Linked DNA regions of Drosophila melanogaster. The protein of the gene in region 1 interacts with the protein of each later gene in a pairwise test. Each region holds a gene or a part of one and is shown on either strand. Other genes may lie near its edges. The genes, in order: stw and SamDC.

What was found.
Region 2: the proteins of stw (region 1) and SamDC interact in a two-hybrid assay, tested with the Drosophila melanogaster proteins (one large-scale study listed by BioGRID).

What each region holds. Positions count from the first base shown.
Region 1 is NT_033778.4:5,411,839-5,416,905, forward strand, and holds the start of stw (straw), read left to right. Parts: upstream 1-1,905; 5' UTR 1,906-2,113; coding exon 2,114-2,243; intron 2,244-4,257; exon of another isoform or gene 4,258-4,554; coding exon of another isoform or gene 4,555-4,579; intron 4,580-5,067.
Region 2 is NT_033779.5:10,337,690-10,342,185, reverse strand, and holds SamDC (S-adenosylmethionine decarboxylase), read right to left. Parts: upstream 2,730-4,496; 5' UTR 2,672-2,729; coding exon 2,568-2,671; intron 2,035-2,567; coding exon 1,948-2,034; intron 1,876-1,947; coding exon 1,707-1,875; intron 1,654-1,706; coding exon 1,375-1,653; intron 1,320-1,374; coding exon 1,227-1,319; intron 1,179-1,226; coding exon 1,023-1,178; intron 961-1,022; coding exon 805-960; 3' UTR 683-804; downstream 1-682. Other genes in the region: CG31715 (uncharacterized protein), read right to left, coding at 1-36, 254-364, 421-504; GATAd, read right to left, coding at 3,778-3,954, 4,070-4,167.

The DNA.
Region 1 (5,067 bases):
CCCCCGTGCTTTACCGCCTTAAAGGTGAAGCGAGGATTATATTCAGTTCGTGGTGGACGCCGAACATAAGACCGAGAGCCTTTCCCACCAAACAACACAATTTTGCTCTCATCTGACCACAAAATGTTGCGCCACTTCTCCACAGGCCAGTCCTTGTGTATCTTGGCATATTCGAGTCGCTTTGCCACATGCTTAACAGTCAAAAGCGGGACTTTTCTGGGACTGCACGCATTAAGGTTGTTTTGTCTTAAGCGTTTGCGAACTGTTTCCACGCTTGCAGCTATCTGAAGCTCCTTCTTCAGTTCCGTCGCCGGCTTAAAAGGCTCCTTCTTGCTTTGCCGAACCAAGCGCTTGATCTCCACGTTGGACATTGAGGGCTTTCTTCCACGTGTTTCGTCCTTTTCGACAAACAGCATTGTGGATCATTTTGTTTGAACACCCGACAATTCGACCAATTTCAGCGTAGGTTTTACATTCAGAGATCATGTTTTTAATCAAATTTCTTTTTTCGACGGTACAATGCTTTTCGCGACCCATAACTAGAGAATTTTTGGTCTTCGTTTGGAACAAATTCAATTAAAACCTTTAATACAACTCCTTTTTTCAAAATTTGTCGAAAAAAATCCCAAATCACTCCTATTAATTTTATTCAACAAATACGTGGTCAGTGCTATTTTTGTTACCGTCTCATTTCGCGCGCTTTTGCAGCAAGTGCCCAAAAACAAAAAGAACCGTTACATTGAGAGAGTAAAAATTTCTTGCTCAGAGAGCCAACATATGGAACTTATTATTCATGAAATCTGACTTAAAAAAAAATAAACATTTTATAATTTTTTTTTAGCAAATCAACTTTCCATCTGCAGTAGTGCTATTATTTTAACCGCAGCTGTATGTACATATGCATACATATTCATATATTTAGTATCGTATATTATGTATAATTATAAATCTATGTGCTTCCTCTTCTATTTTATACATATACATTCTTACCTATTAATTATATACTTTGGAAGTCGGAACGAAAACGATATAACCATTGGAATAATCAAAACAAAACATAACAAAATATGTTCCATTTCTTGTTTATAATTTTAAAGTGCCGTTATTCACTTTAAAACACTTTTTGATAACATATGTTTTTGGTTCTTATTTGATAAGCATCCACTGTATCAATTATTTAAAAATATTACAGAGAAAATTATAATTTTGTTGTATTTGATCATAAATTGTTCTTATTCTTTTTATAAAAAAAAATGAAACATGCATTCATCTCCAACGACTAACTAGCTTTAATATTCTACGTATGTATTTATATTTACACTTTCGGTGCGCTATTTTATTTAGCATTTTATGTTTGTAGTCATGTGTTGCATACCTCTTAGTTTCGTCAATTCTTTTCAATTGATTTTTGTACACATGTCATTTGTTTATAATAGTAGTAATACTTTAAACAAGTATATTATAACGTGTTTAAGAATTTGCATATATGTGCTGACTTTTTGAAGGTGCCCTATACATATGTAAACCTTTAATAAGTAAAAGTAAAAGCTACATGCAAAAATCTCAGCACAGCACTTTAGTATTCATTTATTTGAGATCTATTTGTCTGAACTTTAAAACATTCCCTTCATATGATTTAGGCAACAACAATACAATAAAGATCCGTTATATTTCGTTTCATTTTCTTTTTCTATGCTTTGGTAAAGCTTTTGTGAGGTTGCGGCAGCTCTAGACTCGACCAACTTGCTCTGAGATCGTGATCAAGTTGGCTGCTGCAATTTCTTGCGCTCTCTGAGCCATGTCATGATTCACTGAGCCATTCCTTTCCCTGGCTCATTCGTAAGCTCGTTTTGCAGTAACTTTTCTACTTAAACATTTTATATAGTCGTACGTATGTAGCTACCGCTTCAGTTTGGTGCTTAAACGCGTTGCTCGTACTTCATTAAGCCGTAATCAATTCAGGTGGTGTTGCTATTGCTTAGTACACATACTTTAAAAATATATAGTCTTATGTTGTGAACATCCACCCAAAGTATTGTTAAATAGCTTAAAGGAATTAATAAAAATACAAGAAGAATAGTGAAAAATAAAATTATACGCCATTCATACAACTATGAAAGCCATGGATCTTAACGGATTTTACCAAACTTTTATTTCGTTCCTGATATGGGGTGCATTTTCCAATTTTCCTGAAGTATTTGCAGTACGTGTTGCCAACTCACAGCAAAATCAACCTAAGAAAGGTAAGGAAATCCCATCTTGGTAATTTTTTTCACCTAAGAAGTCTTGAAATATCATTTTGTGATTTGTCGACAGTACATATTCCTTTCATTAAAATGATTATTTAAGTGCAATACGTATATACTCGTATACATCTAAACATGACTATATTTCCAAGGGGTGTTCCAAAGATTTGGGGGATCTTTTGGGTATCTTTACTGTAAATTAATTGGAATGTTTTGCAGGACAAAACGTTGTTTTGCCACACTTGCTTTCCGTTATCGTTTTCATAAGAATATATATATTAGAATTATAGGTTGATTATTTGGCCAACCATATATTATATGGATCAAAACATTTTAAAACTTAAATACCGTCTTTACCTATTCAACCCATACGAAGTAGAATAGTAAAATTATACACAATTAAATACATATGTATGTGCAAATAAAGTGAAAGGGAATAAATATTCAAACTAAAGAAAAATTGAATGGTTTAGGAGAAAGAGCAGTGCAAGTCTACAGATTTAGGGAACTGGCCATATTGGACCCAATGTAGATAGATAAACGTACTTTCTAAAATTTTCCCATACGACGGGCTGGAATGGAAAATTGCCTACACTTTAGGTAAAATTTTCGAAACAAACAAACTACAATATTAATCGCTCTTTTCTATATTTCTTATACCACAAAATTTTGCTTGTATCTGACATTATTTTTGTTATTTATTAAAACTTTTTTTATTTAAATTGCCTTTTTCATCAATATATATTAAAGTTAACAAATTTATAAAGAAATCAAAATATTTAGCCTTCATAAGCTTACACTGGTTTAGCCTACCACTTACTTTGCGCAATAATGTTATACTTTTTTAATTTTACTGATAATGGTATTTCTTCAACTTTTTAATTGCTGAATCGCTGACCTTGTCAGATGTTAGCATGCTACTCCCTACAAATTACGAAAGTGCGAACACTTCAACAAGCTTCAAACTTTTAAATCGTTGAAACCCCGATAATAAGAAAACTCTGTAAGATTAAAGTAAAACAACAGGATTTATTTACTTCGGTCTTAAATTGGAAAGCATTAAAAAAACATATTAAGATCTTTGCTAATAGTTTCTAACTTACTACATATGTACATATGCATGTAACTAAAAGAATTTAACAACCAACATAAATAAAGATATATTAGATAAATACTAGTGATTTCTTTTGTCAGACCATTTAGTAAAAGTTATTTGTAAATTTTTTAGCTGAGAAAGAAAAGTAAGAATTTTTAGACTTTAAGAATAGTGTATAACTATTTTGAGTGAGTCTTAAAAATTTTTTTTTTGCAATTTTCATGGAAAATAATATCAGCAGATATGTATGTATGTTCGGATAATAATATTCGCAGATTTATGTACGTTTGTCATGAAAGTTGACTCCTGTTTTCAATTCGGAGGTCGTCATTTCCATCATTTTTTGGTATGATCTCTTAAAAACTATTCCATAGTTTTTTGTAACCGATTGTAATTTTTATTAATTCACAAAAATAATCTATGCTTCATTGCTTTTCGATTTAGAATACACACCAGATAAAAAAAGAGATATCCGAAACGCACTTGAAAAAAGTTTTTTCGCTTTCAATCGAAATTTTGTTTTGAATTTTAATCTACACATCTTTTAGAAGCTGTGTTAGCGATTTATGTCATTAATCAAACACACGTTTTAAGTGTTGAAATCCAATTTTAGCAATAATATGTCAAAAATGAAACTCAGGAAGGTGATCGAATTTTTGACCCTTTTTCAAAAATACATGTACATAACTTCCTAAAATGAAAAGCCAGTTCAATTTATTGTATATGTATTGTATTGTATATGATTGAAATGAGGTGATCACAATGATTTTGTGCATTACACTTGGAGTTAGGCTTGTGATTTGTTGAAAAGGGTGAAAGGGAAAGTCTAGCCTTAGACTACGTCATTAAAACTCATTGTTTGCAGTTTATGTTTATATAAATATATTATATTTAATGCGGTTTTTACTTTTTATAAATTATTTTTCTGTCATTTATATCTTTATTTGCCTACGTTACACTTACTAATACTCTTAATTATTTGTGGTATGGTCGACAAAAATTAACCTAGCTGGTGGTCGCGCCTTTAAGTTTCTTAAGTTACTTTGAAGAACAATGTCCGCCATCCATTTGCGCCTCGCTCTCTCTCATAGCTGACCAAAGGACTTGTTGACATACGCGACATATCTAGAAGCTGGTTGTGATATTTTAGGAATACATGCATACGTTATTATTTCGAAATTTTCTAACGGATAAACGGGTATTTGATAGTTGATGTACTCGTTTTTTGATCATTCAAGTATGTGCAGATATGATTTGAATATACATAAATTATAGTATAATTTGGTATCTTCCTTAATTAACATTTTTCTAAGTGGTCCTTAACCAATAAATACAAATGTTTTATTTGAAATGAATGCAACATCAAAATACAAATTTATTAAGCTTAAAACCGGTCTGCAAGGGGTATTAAATGGTGCAGCCTTAAATTATAACTGATTCAAGGTGACTTCAAACTGAAAATTTGTGTATGTATGTACGGGCACCCAAACATATTTATTCAATGTTAAAGACAATACAATGGTATTACATTACTAAACTTTAACTTGCAAAACAGAAATGCTTTTTTTAATCAACACATTTTTTTTGTAATGTTATCGTTGCTGAAAATATGATAAAGTTGTTAGGTAAACCCATGCTAGTCATCTCTCTATTTCCATGAATACAAACTAACAGAGTAACATACATATGTGACACGTACGGAATGTGGGACTGGTTTCCGATTGC
Region 2 (4,496 bases), on another chromosome or scaffold:
AGCCAGAATGGGGGTAATACCATGTTTGTCCTTTCTCTTCAATAAATATTAGTTAATTACAATTAAGTTCTATTATTATACGAAGACCGGCATGTCTTAGGTGCACACCTGGTTCATTTGTTTAGCTTGAGACTATGACTAAACAAATGAAGGTGGTGCAGACGTGTATATATGTACACTAATATATGAAACCAGTAACTGACGAAACATTAATGATTCATGGCCGAGTAATTTGGCATTGTGAGCTACTTACATTTATGTCTGCTCCTAAGCTTATAAGAAACTCCAGGACATTCAGTTGTCCAAAATCTGCTGCATAGTGTACTGGAAAACGGCCCTTGATTTCCTCATTCACCTTTTGTGCCTGTATACAAATAGAATTAATTAATTCCAAAATTATTTAGAGTATTAGCAGCGCACATCATTCTGAAAAGCGTCTTGCACAGCATCGAACTCTCCGTTCTTTATGGTCCAAATAATGTCTTCATTAGAAATCGCACTCATTTTTATTTTTCTTTTGGGCCGACTTGTCAAATACTGCTAGGGATGGAACTTTGCCTGTGACACTTGTTCAGATCCGATAATTATTTGCTACATTTGGAATTTGCGAATTATCCAGGGTGTTGGTATATTTTAGTATTTTATATTAACAGTCTATTTAAAAAGTAATTGTACGTTATTTAGTAGTAGTAGTATTTATTATTTTATTTATTCGACATTTATTTTGAATAATTAATAACGAACGAAAAATAAATTTTGTTAGACATACGCAAAACAATCACAATTGCTGTTGGCTTTGGAATTTTATAAATTATCACCAGTTTTCTCACTGTGGGAATATTGTGCAAACAGAAGATTGTAAGATGGAAAGTTGCAACATTGCATGTCGGTTCGTTTCCAGTGCGATCCCTGTGAGTACTCCACTTCCAGTTCCTTCATAGTTTCGTAGGCCAACGAGCACTGATCCACAATATTCGAAAATTATTTTAAATAATTATACAAAAAGTGGAGCAACAGCTTACCTTATTGGCAAAGATGGTTACAATAAACTTTCCCGGCTTGAAAGTATTGATTACTTGATTGATAAGTTTACGATAGTTACTTAGAGCCACATTTGTTTCGAAGCTCACATACGAAAATTGATTCTCCGGAGTAATATGAATTGTCATGTACTCCCCCTATAAAGAATTTATGTCAATAGTTCTTGTAAAATTTTTCTATGTTACCTTATCGTTGATTCCATTCATGGAGTAGCCGCAAGGATCGAACAAAAAGTCATCAATGTGCATAGTCGGCAATATGGTATCGATACCAGATTTCTGAAATCACAATCTATATGTATTGGTTTTAATCATTTAAAATATATCCTCATACCACAGTAGCGCCATTAGCATCATTAAACTTGTTTTTATAGAAGATTGACATGGTTTCGGGATCTAGATCTTGCATTAATATTTCAATAGTTTGATCTGGATCGGAGTCAACGTTTTTCTCATCCGATATAAGTTGGGGCGTAATTTTGATATCAGAACGACTAAAAGTGTAGAGGTACCAACACTCCAGGTTCATGGAGCCCAGACAATAGGATCTTCCGTTGGGAAAAATTGAGTCCAGATACGTAACTTCCTCCGTAAAGCCTTGATGGGGAGTTATCTGAATATATATGATATAAAATCATTTGAAATGCAATTAATTTTTTTGCCCACCTGCGCCTCCGGTCTAGTGAAATTTTTTCGCGAGTAGAACAAGTCTGCGACCACATTGTATCCATTGGCCTCAGCCAGCTTAAGCAACTGACCCAGGCATTTCAATGGAGTAGTCGTTCCACAAGTTTTAAGGATCCATCGTCGCTTTGAAACAAACATACTGCTCTCACTGCTCGCACCGAATACAAATTTAAAATAATTAATAATATTTTATTAAGTTTAGTTTTATATATTCGCATACCTTAACACAAAAGCATCAATAATGTCGTTTTTGGATGTGCTTATTATTTGACAGTTGACATTGCTAAGCACGTTTTCCCAATCAGATCTGAAAAATATCATTTACATTCATTAAAAGTTCAAGGCTATTTGAATAAACATGTACACAATGCCTCGACCAAAATTTATTTTGAGATAATGAGGATTGGATTAATGGGATTGATTAAAACTCGTTATCAAACAAGGCCAAGGGTTAAGACCGATTTTTGAAAGCTTAATTCTAAGTGAATTTACAAAGTTCTACAGGCTGCCAGTTTAAAAAGAAATTCCCTTTAATAACTAATTTCTTGAAATTTCAAATCAAATTTGTATATCTTGAGAATCATAAATAAAAACTTCAATTTAATTTGGGTAGGTACACGTGTGCCGCATCTGATAAGCCTAAAAACCAATGTGTAACCTATTCCAATGGGACTATGTTATGTTTAAAAGATAATTATCAGTGTAGAAATACATTTCATTTCTTTTCAGGACGAAAATGAACGGCGCATATGTACGTATACTTTTGCCCGCAACTGTGCATGCACTTGTGCACAAAGGACATGTCGGCTGTTTGGGTTCCGCACTTGTTGAGGGACTCACCTGCTGATGTTACGCAGATCATCGTCACCGTTGGAGCTCTCCTCAAACCAAATCTCAAGGAGTTTCTCAACGCCCTCGAAGAAGTGCGAACCGTTCTCCAACATGCTGCTGGCTGGCAATAACAAATGGATCTGATCTGATACCAAAACAACGCCTGGTGATGTAAAGTAAACGATGGGACTATCGATGCGAGTGCTTGTTGTACTACATCGATAATTCGGGAGTCTAACAGCATGTTTCCACTTACAGCATTTCTCATTGAACAGTCGGCGGTAAAAATGTAAGTCCCTTTCTATTCGAATTAAGATACTTAAATATCTTTAATATATATTTTTTCAAATTCTCATCATTAGTTTAACAGATTTTTCGGTTGCTTATCCCATACCCCAGGCAAATAGTTAAAAAAAAACAGTAGAATTTGGATTTTCATTTTACATTAACCAGTTTTATTGTGATTGTTAAAAATTGTATAGAGTATTTTATTTGAAAAAATAAATGAGTAATATTTTTTGTATCTTAGCCTATTATGAAGTCCTTATTTTATTTAGACAATTTATGTAGATTCGAAAACAGCATTAAGTTTTTTAGTTTCTTATAATTGTATATAATTTAAATATTTCCTTGAAAAGTTTGCATTGCGTGATTATTGCTTTTTGCATAGTTTTACTATTAAAATGTTTTGTGGAGATTATTATATTATCACATGATTTTCGTATAGGCAAGAGATTTAAAACATTATTATTTTTTAGCTTTAGAAGTTGTTCAATTGCAAAGACAGCTGAAAAATCATTGTTAAAACTGAACTTTTCATTTTAATAGAAGCGATTTGTGTTATTAAAAAATTAAAAATACTGTAAAATGGTTTTAATAAATATAAATATAATAAATTTTATTTTTAATTTAATTGCATTAAGTATTGATGTCCTCTCTTAAGGTCTATATTTAGTGTGATATTATTTAAAAGTTTTGACATACTGGTTCAATTTTCATACCTCTTTTACACTAATAAGTATTTTGGTATTAGTTTTTAAAGATACAAATGAATAAAATTTAGTTTTAAAGAATGAAAATTTTATTAATAATCTATACGTATTTTTAATCCTATACCATTTGTTTTTCTCTCTTACGCGACCTCATAAATAAACAAAATGTGGGTTAAAGGTTCTTCTTTTTTTTTCGAAAAGTGAGTAGGGGGAATATATTTGGCGTTTTATGTTAACTTTGCATTATTTTCACTGGAAACAAGGTTAAGCGGTGCGGATAGATCCGCACTTTCACAGGTATCATTAAACGCCGGCAAAGAATTTGACTTCTTACGCCTTGATAAAATATCTTTAAGTGCTGCTGCGGCTGGGGTCTCGGTATCATCAATTTCCTTTTTGAATTTCTAAAATAAAAACATATTAGAAAATTGAAGTTTAAGTGTATTTAAATCTTATGCAAATAGATCTAGTTGATCAATCTACTTATCAAGACTTTAAAGTAATAGTGCAGATACATACATTTAAAACAAGGCCCGAAATGGCTAGAGATTCCCTAGCCGTCAAGAAATCTTGCTTCGTTGTTTCTATTGAAGAACATGATGACATTTGTTTGTGTTCTGCAAAAGAAAGTGTATATTTATAATTTTCGCAAATAAATCATACAATTAATAATGAAAGGCTCGTAGATATTTATTCAAACTTGAGCAGTTTAACGACTTAACAGGCACGTCCAATGCCATCTACAACAATGACATCATAAAATATGATTGGACAAGCAAGAAAATATTTTGGGTGGGTACGCGGTTAATATTCCGATTGCTAAATCAATAGCTTAATGAACATATTAACAGAAAAATAAATTGTTTTGGCAAGTTACATTTAATTACCAACAATAAAATGGTCAGGGAACATAAAAAAAAAACATTAAGTAAACAAATTGTTTTCA